2 linked regions of the Struthio camelus genome follow. The protein of the gene in region 2 interacts with the protein of the main gene of each other region in a pairwise test. Links are inferred from orthologs where the notes say so. Each region holds a gene or a part of one and is shown on either strand. Other genes may lie near its edges. The genes, in order: ERH and POLDIP3.

Region 1 (9,142 bases), on a different chromosome or scaffold from region 2:
GTTAGGCTCTGATCCTGCAATGAAAATGCATTCAAAAAGGTCTACTGCAAGGCCACCAGGGTGGTGGTATCATCTAATCTCCTGAAGTGACGTGGTTCAATCTACTTACTTGCAAACTATTTTTAGCGTGCAAGAACACTAGTAAACTGAAAGAATGAGACATTTTTGCAGTTTTTGTGACTTCTCTTGGGAATAGCAACTTGTTCACTTAACAAGCAAGCTTTGGGAATATGTCAAAAAAAGATTTTAACAACAATTGCCCATTATCATGACTGCAGAAGCAATGATACCCACCTTCCATGCACTCATTCACTGATTCATAATCAGCATATGTTCTGCCTTCTGGCCTCTTGGTGGGCTGAACAAGTAGAATTGTGTGAGACTGGGCGGGGGGGGAAAAAAGCCATGAGTTACTTCCAAAATTATTAATATTTGAATGAAGCATGCAAAGATTAAGCTACAGGGATTTTTGGCCACCAAATCATTAGACAAACTGGGTTGCACTAAATATATCTGTCCCCAGTGTTACTTCATGACACCTATCACACACAACTTCGGTGTGTAAGGATAAATCTGAGGACTAAGATGGTAAATTCTTAAAACTTACACAGCTATCACATACCTCTAAAAACAAGCACTGTATTATAACATGGATCTGGCAATTGAGGAGACAGTTTTTTCCAAATGGCACTTACTTTTCATATATGTTGTGTTAACAATTTTTGTTTCCAATCAGTTCTATCCATCCTTAAAATGTTTTCTAAATGGGTAAAATCACTAGTAAAGCACCTATTGTGTTGAAGAACCACCACAGAAATAGTATTTTCTACTTAAACAGAAAAGCAAAGCAATAACAGTCAATCTATAATAGCTGTCCAATTAGCACATTCGCTTATTTCATTTTAAATGCAGACTGTTAGTATGATTTAAATACCCCAAGCAGAGATCAAAAGCGAGTCTAACTTAACTTTACCATCAGTCTCAGCTCAAATATCCTAATGCAAAAAGTTATTTTGAGTTATTCATTCAATTTCAAGAGAACATAAATTATAAAGCTGTATTTAGTGTTCAAGACTATTTCTTGAAAACAGATGCACTGATTCTTAATACCTCAGTGAGTCTACTGAACAGTAATTATGACACAGATAACTGTTCCAAATGTCAGAGCCTGTAAATTTGCTTTTCTGCAGGAAAGACTTAGGGTGTTGTACATTGTGTGGCTTACATTACTTCTGTAATATTTTTCACTAGAGTACAGAAATGTGAACAAACAACAGGTAAGATTTTTGAAGTATACATGTCCCTGACCTAATTAAGAGTTATAGATCACAGAAATTTTGTAAGCACGTTAGACAACACCATTCCATTAGTGTCAACTGAATCCAACATTTTCAATGCTAATAAGTGAGGTGAGCACACAGCACATAACATTCACGCTGGCAACTGCAGAGTAAGCCACACTGGAAATATAATTACTAAAACATATTGTTGGGTTTAAATTAATTAACTGCTGAGAGAAAACTCCTGACCCATGATTTGGACAGGACAGTTAAGATTCCAGTTCAGTACTCAGATGCAGAAAAATGGCAAAAAAGTTATTAGGATTTGCAAAGAACATATAGGAAGGCAGTAAAGATTTCTACACCACGATTGATAGTATTCCCATGCTGGGAATTAGTTTTCAGTTCTTGAAATGCTGTCTCAAATATCATGATAGAAAGAGATGGAAAGGAGACCAGAAAAAAGTGACACAAAGGAACAGAAAAGATCAAGACTTTTCCCCAATTAGAAACAGAACAAAAGGAGAATTCAGAGCTATGCACTAGAATAAAAATCATGCAAAGACAACTAGACCAGCTAAGTCCACTTTCATGTAGGTCACAGGACACTTAATTTGAATGGAATTCCTCAAGGGGGGGGGGGGGGCTGGTATCTGGCGGTTCCAAAGCCTGCTGTACTTAACAGGCTTGTCGTACTAGGGAGTCTAAATCATTCTGCCAAACTTTGATCAAGTTCTATTACCAGCAATATCGCATTTGTTTGCTGATCACTGGTGACAAGGCTTGGTTCTAAGACTTGTAACTTTAACTTCTTGGGAGCATCTGAGCACTAAGGATTCTCTATTAACAGTAATAAAGGAAGTGCTTCAGGCAGCTTAGGAAACTTGCTCTAAAACAGTTGTACTATTTTAGCATCAGAATGTCTTGCAAACTAAACTTATGAGATGTTTGATTCAGGTAGAGTTATACATATTTATCTTTTTCAACCAGGCTCAAAATTAAAGAACAGGTTGGGATTATTTCACAAAACCTAAAAGAGCACAGATAAAAGAGAACTGATTAACATTAAAAAATGATATAATAACTGACTGAATTATGTATTCTGTCTCTTGGTGGAGAACAATTGTAGGCTGTCTGGTGTATAAATACCCAGGCTATCCCTCCTATTCTTTAAACGTTAAACCATCGTGCATGTATGTTCTAACGTTATCCCAATAATGAGATTGCCAGGCATCTAAGTCTCTGATTTTAAGTGATTCATCACTTAAGACATTTTTCAATATCCATATCAGACACTGGCCTGGGGAATTATTATTCATGCTCTAAAAAGGCATATCTTTCAGCTTTTCTAAGTGCAAAACAGCAATACATAATGAAGACTAGTTTCTGCAAGCCACTAATAATAATTCTACTACACCCATCAAGAAATGAGCCTAAATTATTGCCAGTATTTTTTGATCCTGTTACTACTGACTTTTGTTTCTTCCTCTACTAGCTATTAATTTCTCATCTTCCCCTAAACTAGCTATTAATTTCTCATCTTCCCCTAAAAACCTTAAGGAGGAAAAGGATAAAAAAAATCAAAATATATATCTCAAATTTAAGAACTTCCCACATTTTTACTCTAAAGAAAAAAAACTTTTTGAATGATTTTATGAAATTGCTCCTCCTCTCCCTCCACAGGAGGGCCAAAGAATGACAAACTTAGAAGTACAAGAGAAGTTTCCTCAAACTATTAGCTGCCCTACTGAATACATGCTTAGGCGACAGAGGCCAAATCCAAGTTTCCTATGGGTATAAATCCTGTTGTTAGGAAAAAGAAAAGTGGTGGTGGATGATGCAGAAACCCTTGTTTAATCAGACTAGGTTATCAGGAACAGCCCAATAAGAACTCTTACTGTCCTGTTGCAGACTGTGGGTTTTCTTGTGCTTTCCTTTAAAGTGTAATCGAACTGTCTGCTGTTCAAGGAGACAGCAGAGTAGATACCACACTGGTTTACGTTATATGAATTTTAAACGTCTTGAGAGCTCTTCGGAACGTGCTTTAAGCACATTATTGAAGACATAACCCTGAAAAAACACTTAAGGCAGCACTGACAGGCAAAAACAGGGCATAGGAGTTAGTCAACATCTGTCCAAAGGCGCTTCTCGCAACTGTCGGGGCTATTCAACAATAAGGCAAAAAATGGAAAGGGAAGAGATGCAAACAGTGTGAAGGACAAATAAACAGGCATAGTAAAGTAAAGACAGGCAATATGCCACAAGCGCTCAAAGGACTTTCGGGTATTCCTGCTGGCCAGAAATAGCGGTTTAAGTGGCTTCCATCTTTTCACTTTCGACAACAGGACAGGGCTTGTAGCTGCTTGTCCTAGCAGGAACTAACTACCTGCCCAAGCGCTACACAGGCGGCCACAAGACTTTTGCCCTAAACCCCACAGCGCTTTTTCCACCAAAGCGCAACGTCTTGCTTGAGCAAAACCCACGTTTACTACATGAATGCGACAAGCTGCTACGACCAGCGGGCCGGTCCCGCAGCCCGCCAGCACGAGCTGCCCCCCCACCCCCCGCTCCGCTCCGCCGCGCCGAGCGGCAGCGGGGCGGCAGCAGCAGCAGCTCAGGCCCCCGAGGCCGCCGCCGCCCCGCCCGCCTGGGCCGAGCGGCGCTTCCCCAAGGGCCGCGGCCCGCCCGCCCTTTGTGCGCGCCGCAGCCGCGGCCCGCGCCCGCCCCGGGGCCCGCCGCGAGCACGTGCTGCCACCCGCCCGCCCCCGCCGCGGCCTGCCCGCCGCTGCCAGCCCGGGAGGGCCCGCGCCGCCGCCCCCAGGCCGGGAGGTAGCGGGGAAGGGGGGTGGGGGGGGGTGGCGGCGCGGCCGACCGGGGCCCGCTCACCATAGCGGCTCCCGCTCCGCAGCTCCGCCGCCGACTAAGAGGCGCCCGACAATTCCCCCACAAGCCCCCGCGCCGGCCGGAAACGCCTCGCTAACGGCCGACCATAGACGACGAGGTGCTAGACTGCCGCGCACGCGCACGGCGCGCGAGAGCGCGCTGCCACACGGCAGGGCGCGGAGCATGCCGGGAACGACCGCCCACGCCATGCTGGGCGGGAAGTGGGGGGGAGGGGGGGGGCTTGTGGGAATAGCTGAGGGAGAGCTACGCCGCGCCGCCATCTTTGGTGAGGGAGCCGCGCGCTTTCCCGCCTCGGCTCGCGCGGGCGGCAGGGCGGCCGCTGCCTCGCCCGCCATCTTGAAGGCGGGAAGCGCGCGGGGTGATGCGACGGGTGCGCCCCGGAAGAGGAAGTGCTGTGTCGTGGAGGTGGCAGTTGGCCTCCGAGGTGGCGGCGGGGTCTGGTGGGCGCAGGGAGCCCGCGGACTGGTGCGGCCTCCGGTTCCCTCCCGGCCCGGCCCTTCCCCTTCCCTTCCCCGCGGCCCCGGCCCGCTGTGCCGAGCAGCGTCAGGGCCCGGCGGTCCCCCCACCCCGGGGCGCAGGGCAGGGTCCAGCCGCCTCAGGGGAGGGCTGCGCCCGCCCCGGCCCGGGCTGGGCCGCCCCTTCTCCCCGGCCGTCGTCGGCCGCGGCGGGCAGAGCCGGGGCTGCTGCACCCCTGGCCCGGAGGGGGCCGCTGCTGGGGGCTGAGCCGACCGGCGCCGCCGGGCAGGACAGACATGGCTGAAGGCCTTTCCTGGGACCTCGGTGTCTGCACGGGTTAAGGCGTGCGGGGCGAGGTGGAAAAGTTGCTGTTGAATTTCACTTTAAGGGACTGGACAGAAAGCAGCGAAATGGATGATTTCCACTCCATCTGCCTGCTGTCTCTGGCCATGCTGGTTGCCTGTTATGTGGCAGGGATTATCCCTCTGGCAGTTAATTTTTCAGAGGTAAGACAGCTTCACCAAACTACTCGTTGGTTGCTACGGAAGAATAGCAGGAATTAGATGCAAAATCTACCACGAGGTATCAATGCTGTCCCGTTTCAACTGTGGCTATGCTTTTGTAGGTGCTCTTCTAACTTAAAAAAGATTTCTAAGGAAAACACGAGTGGATGTTAACCTTCACTGAAAATCACAGCATGAAATAATGTTTATTCAAAATCGAATGTAAAATTACTTAAATGTATCAAAATTTATGCAGGTCTCTCCGCTGCAGGTACAGGGAAGCCTCAGCATATGGTTGAAGAACAGGAGAGTAGCTGGGCATTGTTATTCTTGTAAGGAGTTTGTGTCGGAAGCTTCTGAAGTCAGACTAACTTTTGTTACGTGTCCGTGGACTGTTTGAGTCAGGGCTTCTAAACCAGTTCTGAAAATGTTCTCAGAAAATTGGTTTTGGTTAACTGTTTTGCTCATACTTAATATGAGGTAATATCTAGCTCTTTGATGATTACAAGAAAAATTTCAAGTCATTTTAATATTATTGACAACTCAAAGTATTCTTTTTGAAAAATATCTAGGATAAAAAAGATATTGTTAAAAGAGAAGGAGGCTGTTGTTACAGTCTCTGGAAGTCTCATAATATTCTCTGAGGCCTGTCGGCTTTTATTTTTTTGAAATGTTGATTGTTGCAATAAGGTGTAGTGTAGTGAAAGTTCAGTCATTATGAAGTGGTAAGAGCCTGGTTTCTCATTTCTACTGGATACAGTGCTGTTCTTGGAAAGGGAGGTGATGGAAAAGAAATGTTACCTGTTTCCCCATCACATCAGACCTCGAACTTATCCTTTAGTCTCATGATAACTAGTGCGGTGGAGGCTTTGGGGAGCAGTAGATTGTGAACAGCGTGGGAAGAAGTGTAGTTCTTTTCATTACAGCAAAATTCAACTGAATGATTTGAAACATGAGAATATATCCTGAGATCTTTACATAAAAATTAGGTTGACTGCATTAGCAGTGCTTCATCTAATGCTTTGATGGACCTTCTCTTAAACGTCATCAAGGCTGTTGCTACCTTCTTCTCCCTTTTTAAAACTCACTTTTACTCTGAAGCCTAGAAAGGACTTTCTTGCAAATTTGCTGAGACCACTACCTAGCATGTTAAATATTGTCTCAAGTTTTTTTTTTTTTTTAAATTTCCTCAGGAGTGTGCTTGCAAGTCACCTATTGTCTCTTTATGTTTGGTTATAAGTTCTTTGGCGATGACGTTGAATTGTTTATACAGTTTATACATGTCTGTACAGTTGGATCAGGGGACTCCTAAATCGCTAGGGGCTTCTGACTGCTTTGGATAGAAATCTGTTATAAAAGTTTTGTAGAACCAAAAATGTAGTGCTCTGCATAAACAGTAATCAAATACTTACCAGCCTGCTGTTATGTTTGCAGTGTTTGTAAATGTGTGCACAGTTTGTAAAGTAAGTTTATTGTGGTATCTTAAACTCTCAGAATTTCTTGACTCAGTTTTGTACTCGACTTAAATAGTTTTTTAAAGCACTCATATGTTGTGTTCATTTAAAAGAGGAGCTGAACCTCTTTGCAGATGTTTTTTGTGCAAATACTACCTAATCCTGGAAGTATCTAATTAAAAGTTAGAATTGTTTAAATAATTGACTGAGCATTTGCAGCATGGAACGTTTTAAACTAAGATGAACTATTTGGACTACACGTTCTCTGGTTTGCAAAACATTTTATAGCCTCAATGAGGAAAAAATGCCTTGTAAGGGTCGAAATAGGAAATAAAAATGAATGCTTTACATGATACACCCCGGATGCTGGAGAAAAAATTATTTGCTAATGTTAATGCATTTCTTCAGAAGACTTTTTTTGCTGTGGAACCTATTCTTTATGTTATTATTTCTGTCTTGTTTTCTGTCCTTTGAGTTAGATTTGAATTTTCTTAAAAGTATGAAACTCCAGCACAGCCAGGGAGAATGAAATATCTGTGGTAAAAAGCTAGACTGGGCAGAGCTTCACTTTGTTTGTTTATGCGGATATGAACCCATTTAGCTTAGTCCTGATTTGTAGTATAGCCTAACACTCTATTAGGCTAGGCTTGGGCCAGAAACCAGACTGTGCCTTTTCTTGAGGCTATCTCTTAAGTTGTAGCTCAAAAGCCAAAAAAAAAAAAATCAAGTTCTGGAAGTTTGGATCCTTTGAGTGTCTAACACAGTGTTGACTGAAGTGGGACTGTTTGCTACTGAAAGTAGGTGAAAGTTTTTGCTGGTTGTTGTCAGAGTTTCAATGCTACACAGATTTAAAGCAAGAAACTGACATCACTCTTGGAGAAACGCTGAGCTGTGGAACAGCTTGCTAATTTGGGAGTTTGGGGGTTTTTTTTGGAACAGAAATTTAAGATGTTTTCCTGTGAGGTTTTAACACAACTTACTCTGTTGTTGTTTTTCATGAGACTCATAAGTGTTTTGGTGACTAAATGGTTTGTTTTTAAAAGATGCAGCTTCTTGGACAAAACTAGAAGACTTTCACCCATCTGGGCGGACTGCAATTATTAGATGTCTGTATTAATCATCTAGAAGCATGGTGTTTTTTCTTGAAATAGTAATTTGTTAACGTGTGTTGTTTTCATGCATTTTTAAAAATCGCAGATGTCCAAATTAATGCACGCAGTACTCTGTATTTGCAGTCATAATAAAACAATATTACTTGTGACATTTTGTTTTTGGCTGTGTGTGTGTGTGTGTGCATATATATTATGTAAAATGAGAGATTATAGTGTTGCAGTATAAACATCATCTTATTGAGCTTTTGAGAGGTCATATTTTGGCAAAACTACTTTAAAAACAGTCAGTGTGGAAGATCAGCTATTTATATAGATTCCCACTGTATAACAACCTATCAAGTGTATTTGTCATGTGACTGTACAGTGTGTGTTGGTGGAAACTTTACAAGTATTTTCATCTCCTGCATATTACCCCTTGAATTTTCCCCAGTAAAGCTGTAAACATTTCATTATGGTCATGTCTGGCATGCATTTAGAAAGCTAGTTGTAAGTCCCTCCAGAGCCTGTGTTTCTTCTATACGAGGCTCATCTATTTCGTTGAGATTTATTGAACTTGCATCATTACAATGCATGAGGAGAAGCAGGGGGAGCATAATAAGGATATGCTATGAGCGGTTTCTTGTTACTCCAACACTGCACTCCATCTCCAGGTCCTCAGTAGTTAACTCTGGTATTTGGGCAGTGCGCAGACATCTGATTGTGCATTCAAGATGATGATGGTTCTGCCACAAAGTACGTGATACACAGTTGACATCAAGATCTGAACATCACTAGTTACTATGTGTGTTGTGCTAATGGCTATTACAGAAATGATCCTCTGGATAGGAGAGAAACTTGTCATATGAAGCAAGTTGATGTATTTTAGGTACCATTAGATGTTAATGTTACGGCATTTTCAGTGCATGACTTTGACTTTAGCCTGTCAGTGTTCTAGTCACAAGCAAACAAAAGTTAATAGTAAATTGTTCTTTCTTAGGAAAAATAAAATTTAGTCAAGAGGTACTGCAGTCGAGGGAGTACTGATCTCTTTCTAGGCTTTTTGTCCAGAGTTAGACAAAATCTTAGAATCTTTCTAGAAAGGCGGTCCTTACTATTAGTAGCAACTGCTTACAAAATCCTTACCTACTTTTGTTGTTGTTTAAGCTTGTTGCGGAAACTTGATTTTCCTGGAATATTTCTAGATTACACTGTAAAAATACTAGGTTTACATAATATTCTTTAAGTTTTAATTACCAATTTGCAATGCTTAGATTTTACAGTAGATTTCAGTTTTAGCTATGTTTGCAGAGCGGAAAAGGGAGTGCCATGATCTGTAACTACCTAGAGTGGAATATCTGTTTGTATTGCCCTAAAATGTGATAAAGAAGCTCTTTAAATGATTTATATAATTCTGATTTTGAACCTATTTTTGGGACTCAGTCCTGTCTGTCATA
Region 2 (9,393 bases):
ATGCGCTTCAGCTGGACTAAGAAATTATTTGCTCTTGCTCCCTGGCAATTTATCAGCCGCGTCACTGTGCCTTTAGCTGCTTCATATGCTGCTGTAAGATTCAGTGCAGGTAACATAACCGAGATGCTGTGCCACGCACTACCCCCAAGGTATTGTGACGCCCTTCGTATAATTTCCTAACAAATATTTAGAAAAAGGAGCTTAGAGATGAGACAGGGAGATGGTCTCATCTGCTCTGACTTCTGCACCCTGGCTCTCAGCCGCCTGCTGCTCAGGTAGACGCCTTCAAGGAGTCTGCTTTTTCAAAGGCTCCAGGGCAGGCCTGAAAATTACCCAGCACATTTTTACAACGGTCCTCTGGTAGAAGCAGCATGAGCTCTCCCAGGGCACAGGGACGTCTCTCAGGTGCTGCTTGCACCTTCCTCCCCCTCAGTCGCGAGAAGGGAAGCAGCACCCTGGGCCCTTCCCTCAGCAAACACCTAAGCAAGCAACCGGGAGAGACCTGTGAAAGCTGAGCCGCAGCTTCCCTTGTCTGACAGCCAGAGTAACACAATCATAAACCCAGGGAATGGGAGAGCCTGAGGTTTAAACTCTCATGAAACAGCAAAACTAATTCCCACTAACCAGCATCCCACAGAGACTCTAACACAGGAAACGCAGGTGCCTGTAGAGGGAAGGGAGGCGGGGGAATGCCCGTGGTGCTGAGCCAACGTGTCCAAACTGTCCCTCAGACAACTCCTGCGCACCAGCTCTGAACACCCAGGTGGTCGCAAGTCTCAGGCTGGACAGGACCATTTCAGAAAGCTGGGCCCTGACCCAGCATTTGAACACATAGGGTGATATTTTTTTTCCTTCCGTTTTTGTGAGGCTAAAGGATTTTCCTTCCTCAGCTGAGATCCTGGGGACTAACCCATTCCCAGCACCCTGGAGGCAGGAGAAACCAGGCAGCCCTGTCCCAGGTTCAGCCTCAAGTCCTGCATGGGATTAGTGTGAACCAGTATTGGGAACAGCCCTTCCTCCCTCCCACTCCCTCCACGGGTTTGGAGGAGGAGGAGGAGGAAGGAGCCAGCATCCTGCAGATGTAGGAGCCCTGCAGGGGCTTGAATACACCTGTACCTCTCTGTTCTGGGGACCTGTCTGGTGCCTGTGTGACAAAACTGGTGAGAAAATAAGAATCACCTGCAATGCTGTCACACTGCTTATCAGTTTAAGGCATAGCCTCATGATTGCAGAAAAGGGGACACTGATGTGTTTGTGAGTACCAGAGAAGTAATAAGGACAGTACAGCCAGCAGACCCTAGATGAGTTATTAGACCTGGAATTGGGATGATAATTCCAAACGTTGCGCAAGCTGCAACGTTCCCATTTTAATATGCTCTGTAGCCAAAAGCTAAGACGTGCAACCAGCTTAAAAGAGCTCCAGTGGGAAATGGCTGAATTTTTAACAGCAATGTGTAACTTCCCACTTAAAACATCCTTGGTATCTAAATGTGATGCCAGTCTTCCAATAAAGGCTCCAGGGGAGACCTGGCGACCTCCAGGGCTGCAAGCCCAGAGGCTGCACTGACCAGATGAGTAGGCTCTGAAAAGAAAGGAGAGAATCAGTGGGCTCCGTAGAAATATGGCCTACTTGGGAAGAGTCATGAAGGGTCAACAAGCAGGTGAGTACTACTCAGATAATCTAAACTCTCTGAATGGCTGAAAAGTTTTGAAAAAAGCCCTTCACCAAAGTCCTTCAAGGAAACTGTGCAGCTGCAGGATAAGAGAGGTCTATCATGAATGAATGATTGGCTAAAAAATAGGAAACAGACGGTGAGGGTAAATGGAGGGAGGTCAGTGACGGAGCTTGGCTGGGATCTGTGCTGTTTAACATGGCTGTAAGTGACCTTGGAAAGAGAGCAAGGAGGTTATAAAGTTGGCTGATGATGTGAAATTATTTACCGTAGTGAGGAGGTTGAAAAGCTGTGAAGAGTTGCAGAAAGACCTTACACACTGAGTGACTGAGTGGCAACAAAAAAAAAAAAAGTCAGAGGAAATTCAGTGTATTTATACATAAAGTGATGCTGAGAGGGGAAAACACTCCTCACTATACATACAAAAGGACAGGCGGTCACCTGATCGCTATCACTCAGCAGCAAGACCCTGGGGATTTGATAGAGAATTCTGTGAAATTATCAGCAGTAGTCAAAAAATAAAATCCAGGATTAGGAATCATTGTGAAAGGAGTAGGAAACGAAACACAGAACATCCAAACATGCCATTATATACCTGCGTGATCTGCCTACATCTGAAACTGGAACGGCGTCAGTGAAGGCCAACAGTAATAATCAGTGGTCTGAAAGGGCTTTGATAGGAGGAACGGGTGAGTAGGCCTGGCCTACAATTCATGAGCAGACGAGAAGGTGGGCAGAGGCCACACGTGCGCTCCCTGCCTTAATTCCAGCAACTAGGCTGGTGGGAGCCGGATGCAAAACAAGGGGAGGTGGCTCTTCCCACAGCAGGGAGCAGACCTGTCGCACTCCTTGCCAAGGCATACTGTGGATGCAAAAATATTGCTGGGGGTCAAGACGAGTCTGGACAGGCATCTGGAAGAGTCCTGCGTTGGGGGTTACCGAAACACAGGAAATCATCAGAATACCATGAGTAGCTGGTAGCACACTCAGGGGAAGTACCATATGGGCTTGTCCTCTTCTTCCTCTTCCCTGGGCATCCTCTTATGGCCACTGTTTTGGTTAGTTTGGATTTGTACCCCCCCCCCCTTCTCCCACAAACGATGCAGCTGTTTCTCACATTTGGGGAAATTGCAAGGGGCAGCACACCAGAGTGGGCCTCAGGCTGGGGAACCCACCTTCCTGATGCTGCTGCCTCCCCACAGCCTGGAAATAGGATACTGGGCAGACAGACCCTGGGTCCCTACTGTTCTTATGTTCAGTCAAATTTGCTCAAAAAAGGTGACTATTAGTTTTGCAACAGCAGGCTTTATGGCTGGTCACACATCATCCGCCACATTAGTTTGATCAAGTATCTGCTGCAGAAAAGCCCGCACAAAAGCAGGAGAAGGGCGTAAACTCATGCTCGTGTAGCTAGTTTGATAGCAACGCAGTCACGTGCCAGCCTTGATCCGGGTCAGGTGCGTACCAGGGCCGCCGCAGCTCGGGGCGGCGCTGCGGGGAGACCGCAGGAGGCACACGACGAAGGTGTGGGGGGGACGAGGTCGCCCTCGTGCCGGGGAGCTGCCGCGTGGAGACCTCTGCGTCTCCGAGGTCTCCTGTCTTCTAAGGGAGGGCGGAAACCCCTCGCTGTGGGCTCACAGCACCGCGTTGTGCCCGAGCAGGTCACTGGGAGGGAGGCCCAGCAGCACCAGGGCCCCACAGGGAAAGCCGCAGCCGTCTCCCTGCGGGCCACCGCCACGGAGGCTGGCGAGCCACGGGGCACAGCAGGGGACAACTCTGCGGCCACTTAGCAGCAGGAAGTCCACGTCGCCCGAGTCCGTACAAGGCTCTTCCTTTCCACGGATTCCTTTTCTGGGCAGTCTGCTTTTAAACCGAGCGACTTCTCCCACAAAAGCATTAAAATAAAATCTTTTCCTAGAGAAACGGGAGGCGTCAGAGCAATTTTGGCAACGTACTTCTAACTGTTGTGAAATCCTTGAGGCCAGCTCGGAAAGACCGCATTACAAATCAAGCAGACGGGGCTGTTTTCTTGGGTTGGTTTTTAAGAAGTTTCATCGAGTTATCCTTTATGACGTTTGACGGGTGAAGTTCACCAACGGCTCTCGCCGGCTCAAGGAGGAAACCGCGGGTCGCGGGAAGCCCAGCTCGCCTCGCCCCCCGCCCGAGACGGGCAAGGTGCCGCCGCCGCCCCGGCAGAGACCGTTGGTGGCGGCCCGGGGGCGGGGCGGGGCTATGACGGCCGCTGAGGCCCCACTGGCTCCTCTCTCTTTGGGACGGGCAGCTCGGGAGGGTCGGGCAGATCATGGCACCCGGGCATCCCGCGAAGTAAGCGGGTCACCCGGGGACGACCTGTACCCGCGCAAAAATTCCTCTCACATTAGCAGTGAGGACCCGGGCGTCACCCCGGGTCGTTATTTTCCTTACTCATAAGTTTAAGGCATAACGCTCCCCTCCCCGCCCCGCCGTGGCAGCCCTGCGCGCCAGCTCCACAGGTCACGGCGACCAGACCGCTGCGCCGTCCCGCAGAGGGATAGCGGTGTCTCCGCCGCCCCGATCTTTCTGCCCGGTGCGGGCCCCTCTCCGCGCCGTTTAAACGCGGCAGCGGACCGGACCGGTACGGGACGTGCGGGCGGCCGTATGTAAATGAGGGACCGGGGCGCCGCTGGGGGTTCTGGGTCCGCCGGGCTCGCGCGCGCCCTTCTCTCCCCCGCCCCTGTCGCGCACTCAGGCGGAGCCCGGAGGGGGCGGGGAGGGGGCACGCGCTTACTTCTGGTGGGCGGGGCGAGGAACGGAAGCCGCTTGATGTCACGTCCGGGTCTCGCTCGCTGCGTCTTATCTCTGGGCCCGGCGACAAGATGGCGGACCTCTCCCTGGACGAGCTCATACGGAAACGCGGCGTGACCGTGAAAGGGAGGTAGGTGGCCGGCAGGGCAGCGCCCGAGGCCGAGCTTCCCCCGGCGGCTCCTTCGTCCTCCCCCCTAGTCTTTCCGCTTTGGGGGGGCGGGGGCCGCGGGCCGCAGCCTGCCTCAGCGCGGCCCGGCCCCTTTCCGTGCACTCGCCTCTCCATTGGCTTAGGCGGCGGCCCGTGGGGCGTCGTTTTGGGCACTGATTGGTGGGGCGGGCCGTCGCTCACCGACGGGACGGGGCGGGGGGGGGTCGCCGCTCCCCCGGCGCTGCCCCCGGCGCGGGGTCTCCTTCCCGTACCGAGCCCTTTCCCTCGCTGCCGAGGCTCCTGGCGCAGCCGGCCCTTCCTCCGGTGCCTCCGACCTCCTCTCCGCCCGTGAACCCGCTTGCGCTCCCCAAGGCGGGGGTCGCGCCGCCTCGGGCCTGCAGCGGCCGCTGGGCTGCGGGGCCCGGGGGGGAAGGAGGCGCCGGGGCCGGCGGACGGGGGCCGCTGAGGAGCGCCGCGGCGCATTGCGGGACGGCCGCGGGAGGGGTCGGAGCGCCACGGGGCGCCCTGAGGGTAGCTGCGGTGGGCGGCCGGGGCACAGCGCAGGCACAGCTTCGTCGGCGTTGATGCCGGCCCCTTGGAAACTGCCGCCTCTGTGGCACGGCTGGCCGTGCCCTGGCGGACCGTGTGGAGCGGGATACATGGGAGCAACGAGATTAGGCTCGGGCTTTGTATGGCGGGCGTCTCCGTACGTATGGCCGTTCGCTCCTTAGTGTAGCTGTTGGCAGGTTCTCGTTCGGCGTCCCCTGTGATAGCTTTTCATCCTCCCCTTTGCTTTAGTCTCTTGATGCTTTTCGCGATGCTGTCCACGGATTTCTCTGCTCTGCGTTAGCCAAGTTTGCCTCTGTTTTGGTGCTCTCTGGCCACTGAGGAATCTTGGGCTTGAACTGTGAATATGAGCGCTTCCGTGTCTAGAACAGTATTTTGAAAGTTCTCTGCTAACAGGTAGTAACTGAAAGATTCAAACACACCTCTGAATCGTAGCCTAGACAAGGCCTTGGCTTTGTGCTTTCATTCATGTTATGCTGCGTGTTTGGAACAGTCTTGCACTGCTTAATATGCCAAGCACCACCTCCTCCTCTTTTTCAAATCCCTCCTTAACTCTCATTTCTTCCAGGAATCCTTCCAGCTTTTATCTGCTGAGCAATAATCTCTCAGCAGCACTATTAGAATGTTTCTGCCTTGTGTTTCTCTTGTTTGGCATCTTTAGCTCATATTATAAGATTTCTGAGGTAGCTAACGTGCCTTTCTGAATGCCGGACAAGCCAAATAGACTTTTATCTTTGCATACATGCTCTTTAGTAGTCCAAGGGAAATGGTAACAGGAAAGTATTCAGCTATAAAATGTGCTAACACACAAGCTCTTATAATGTGCCATGGATAAGTCAGTTAGAACTTGCAGTAACGGAAAGTGAATTTTATGGAATTATGATGTTTGAGATTCCCTTGTGTTTCAGGTATCGTGGCACAAAATGGGCACATAATGCCTAAAGCAGTTTGTGTTGTTTGTTTTAAGATAAGCAAAAAAAAAAATTCTTTATGAAGATAAACTCTTCTTCAGAGGCGGTGTAATCTTCTGTACAGTTTCCTAACTGATTTCATTGATAGGCATCCTAACTGTTCTAATTAAGTCTGGCTTAAATGCTAGTATGTATATTCCTGGTTTACTTTGACTTCTCTTTTATGCTTATTAAAAGGAATCACTCATCAATCTTTCTACAGCACTCTAACCAAATGCTTGCAGCATTTTAAGATAACAGGCCTTAAAATTACAAGGGAAGCTTTTGTTTTGTGGCTATTGCTTTGCAAGTACTGTTCCTCTTTCATATACTTTTGGATATATTTTAACAAATGGACTTAATATTTTTGTCTCTTAATTGGCATGCTCTGTCTGAATGAGATCAGCCATAGGATTTTTAGCTAGCTGACAAAATGGGACTCCAGGCCTACTTTTCCATTTGTCTTTCATTCTTGCTGCATCCAGACACAGAGGATGATGCAAAGTCTTTTCCATCTCTTTTCCACTATTTTTCCACAGACCTCTTCACTGTAAATACATGACTGTAAGTAGAATGCTAAAACTGTAGTGTTAGATAAATCAGGAAGTACTGATACAAAGCTATATGGAGAAGTTGACTTGTGGTGGTGTTTGAATTTGTGATGTTAGTCTTTTAAGTGTTACAACAAATTCTAAAATTCAATAAAATATCTAGGTTTTATAATACTGTGCAGTACTTTTAACAAAGCATATAAACACTGTAGTGCTCTAGCTTTTTTTTTTTTGAATAAAAAAGCCAATGGTGAGAATGTTTTTCAGGACCTTAACTTTAAAATTTCTCCTGCAACTTTGTCATCTTCTTCCAAAAAGAAAACCCAATGAAAAAATCCAAAACTTAAAAATACTAGGAAGAGAAGGTGTATTAAAAATGCAGACAATTCAGCTTATTCCTTTTAGGGGAAGCTTTGAAAAAAGTAAATCAAATCTGTAATGAGAAGCTAGCTTCAGCTTTCACTACAGAATAGGCTACTTCTTAATAACATCTCCATCTGAATGTAAGAAAAACTCTTTACCGTGAGGGTGATTGAACACTGGAACAGGTTGCCTAGAGAGGTTGTGGAGTCTCCATCCTTGGAGGTATTCAAATCCCAGCAGAGCACAGTCCTGGACAACCTGCTCTAGGTGACCCTGCTTGAGTAGGGTGGTTAGACCAGATTCTCACCGGAGCTCCCTGCCAACCCCGGCTACTCTGTGATCTGTGTACAAGTACAAACGCCATTCTCGGTCTGAGACTGACGTTCTCTGACTGTTATCCTTCTGTACTGAGTATTGCAATGGTGATGTGCTTTAAAAGGTAAGCCAGCGAGTGCAGCAGTGGTAGTTGTGGATTAGGTGAGAAGCAGTGATGTTAGCAAGTGATTTGACTAGCATGTAACTGTGCTGGCAGTTAATCGGTTTTGGAGTTGGTGGCCTTCAGCTGAGATTTGTACTGGTGCTTGTGCAGCCTAAAATCAAAGCCTCCCGCACTTCTGAAAATCTGAACTTGTTGTCCAGAATTCTTCGAAATCACATGTAGTTTCATGTTTTCTTTGTACCAGGACATATTGTGTTACAAAAGATGTTTTAGAGGACCTGGTCAATCCTAAACCTGGATCATCTGTTTCTGTTTCTCTTTGTGTTCAGAGGGCTCCCTGAAGTACCTAAGTTCTTGATAAATTTCATTTGGGTGTGGGATGGATTTAGCACAGCTCAAGTCAAGCCTTGGGCTCATAAATATGACCTTAAGGACCAATTTTAGAAATCAGTTCTTTATATTTTACTTTGTAAGTAAATAGCTAATGTAAAACAGCTTAGGTTCTCTACTGTTTTTTGGACGTCTAACCTGGATAGGGTTGTGTGTAGTAATAGTGACTTCAGATACTTTTACTGATATTAAATCTTTTCTTACAACGTCTGAAACTCTCTTTCTAGGCTTAACACAAGGCCAGTGTTTGGAGGTGTAAGATCTCGCATTGGGATCCAGCAAAATCTTCTCAGTAGATCCTCACCAGCTGTCAGCTTCCAGCGGACATTTGATGCCCGGCAGAAGATTGGCCTCACTGATGCCCGACACAAACTGGGAGTTAAGGATGCCCGTGAAAAACTGGTTCAGAAGGACGCTCGTTTCAAAATCAAAGGGAAAGTGCAGGATGCTCGAGAGATGCTGAATTCCCGTAAGCAGCAAAGTATTGCTGCTGAAAAGGTGACCAAAGTGGTGGATGCCAGAGAGAAGATAAGCTTAAAAAGGAGCACTCCTGCTGCTGCTGCTGCTATCAGCCCAGCTATGGGGACAGTAAATCCAGCCATGAAAATCACCAAAACTATCCAAGTAGGTCAAGCAAGCCACCTCTAAGCCCCTTAGTTATTCTACTGCAGTCCAGTGGAAGTGATAATACTTACAATGAATGTGTCACAAGATTGCAATAGAAGCCATGGAGATGCGGTTGAACCTAGTCTGTAGGGCAAGGTTTAGAGTCCTCGATTTTCAGCGTCCTTCAGCTCTTTGAGGCTTTTTTGTAGAAGCCAAGCTTTCGTTTAAAGAAAAGAACTTTGGGCCCGATAAATGACTAAAGCAGCATAATGTTCTCAGTGCTAAAGTAATTATCTGAAAGTGTTAAACGTAAAATCTTTCTTTCTCCCAGCTAAAACCTAAGGAAATGCTTTTGTTGTTTTGGGGGGATTTTTGTCATTCTAATACCATTGCATGAGTGTGTTTTGGATTGTCCTGTCTAGATAACTGGTTTATTTCCAGTTTAGAATATGCAACTATTGGTATCTTGTAGCAGATCTAAAGCTTTTCTTTTTAATACAACTTCTGTGTTTATACCCTCCCCCTTTTCAGGGAATTGCCTGATTATTTGACCCGTTCCTCCTGAGGCTCAAGCTTTATTCTGGTTTCAATATCATCAGTTGATTATCCTGACCTGCTGATTTTCTTCATCAGTTTTCAAATTTCATGCTGTTGTGTGCACAGTGACTTGACTCTTAGCTGACTTCTCGAGTAACAACTGCTACTGAGTGTGTGTGCGCGTTAGGTACAGAGAGTAGAGCTAGAAGAGAAGTTTTCAGATTGTCGGGATTGTTTTTTGAGGAGTGGCTTTGTTCCTCACCTCTTCGAGTATGTGACAAGCATGTAACTAGTTCCTAACCTACTGCTTTCACTTCTTCTTCCCAAAGATTTAACAATATGTTTGTACATACCCAGAAAAATATCTAGTCCCCGTCAGTTTGAA

The links.
Region 1: the proteins of POLDIP3 (region 2) and ERH interact in a two-hybrid assay, tested with the Homo sapiens proteins (2 studies listed by BioGRID, with this or other methods). The link is inferred for Struthio camelus from reciprocal best matches to the Homo sapiens genes POLDIP3 and ERH.

Annotation. Positions count from the first base shown.
Region 1 is NC_090946.1:45,491,296-45,500,437, reverse strand, and holds the start of ERH (enhancer of rudimentary homolog), read right to left. Parts: upstream 4,365-9,142; 5' UTR 4,170-4,364; coding exon 4,167-4,169; intron 383-4,166; coding exon 295-382; intron 1-294. Other genes in the region: SLC39A9 (zinc transporter ZIP9), read left to right, coding at 4,546-4,649, 5,029-5,146. UniProt on the Homo sapiens protein: May have a role in the cell cycle.
Region 2 is NC_090942.1:56,143,693-56,153,085, forward strand, and holds the start of POLDIP3 (polymerase delta-interacting protein 3), read left to right. Parts: upstream 1-5,116; 5' UTR 5,117-5,189; coding exon 5,190-5,311; intron 5,312-7,345; exon of another isoform or gene 7,346-7,455; coding exon of another isoform or gene 7,456-7,475; intron 7,476-8,092; coding exon 8,093-8,489; intron 8,490-9,393. UniProt on the Homo sapiens protein: Is involved in regulation of translation. Is preferentially associated with CBC-bound spliced mRNA-protein complexes during the pioneer round of mRNA translation. Contributes to enhanced translational efficiency of spliced over nonspliced mRNAs.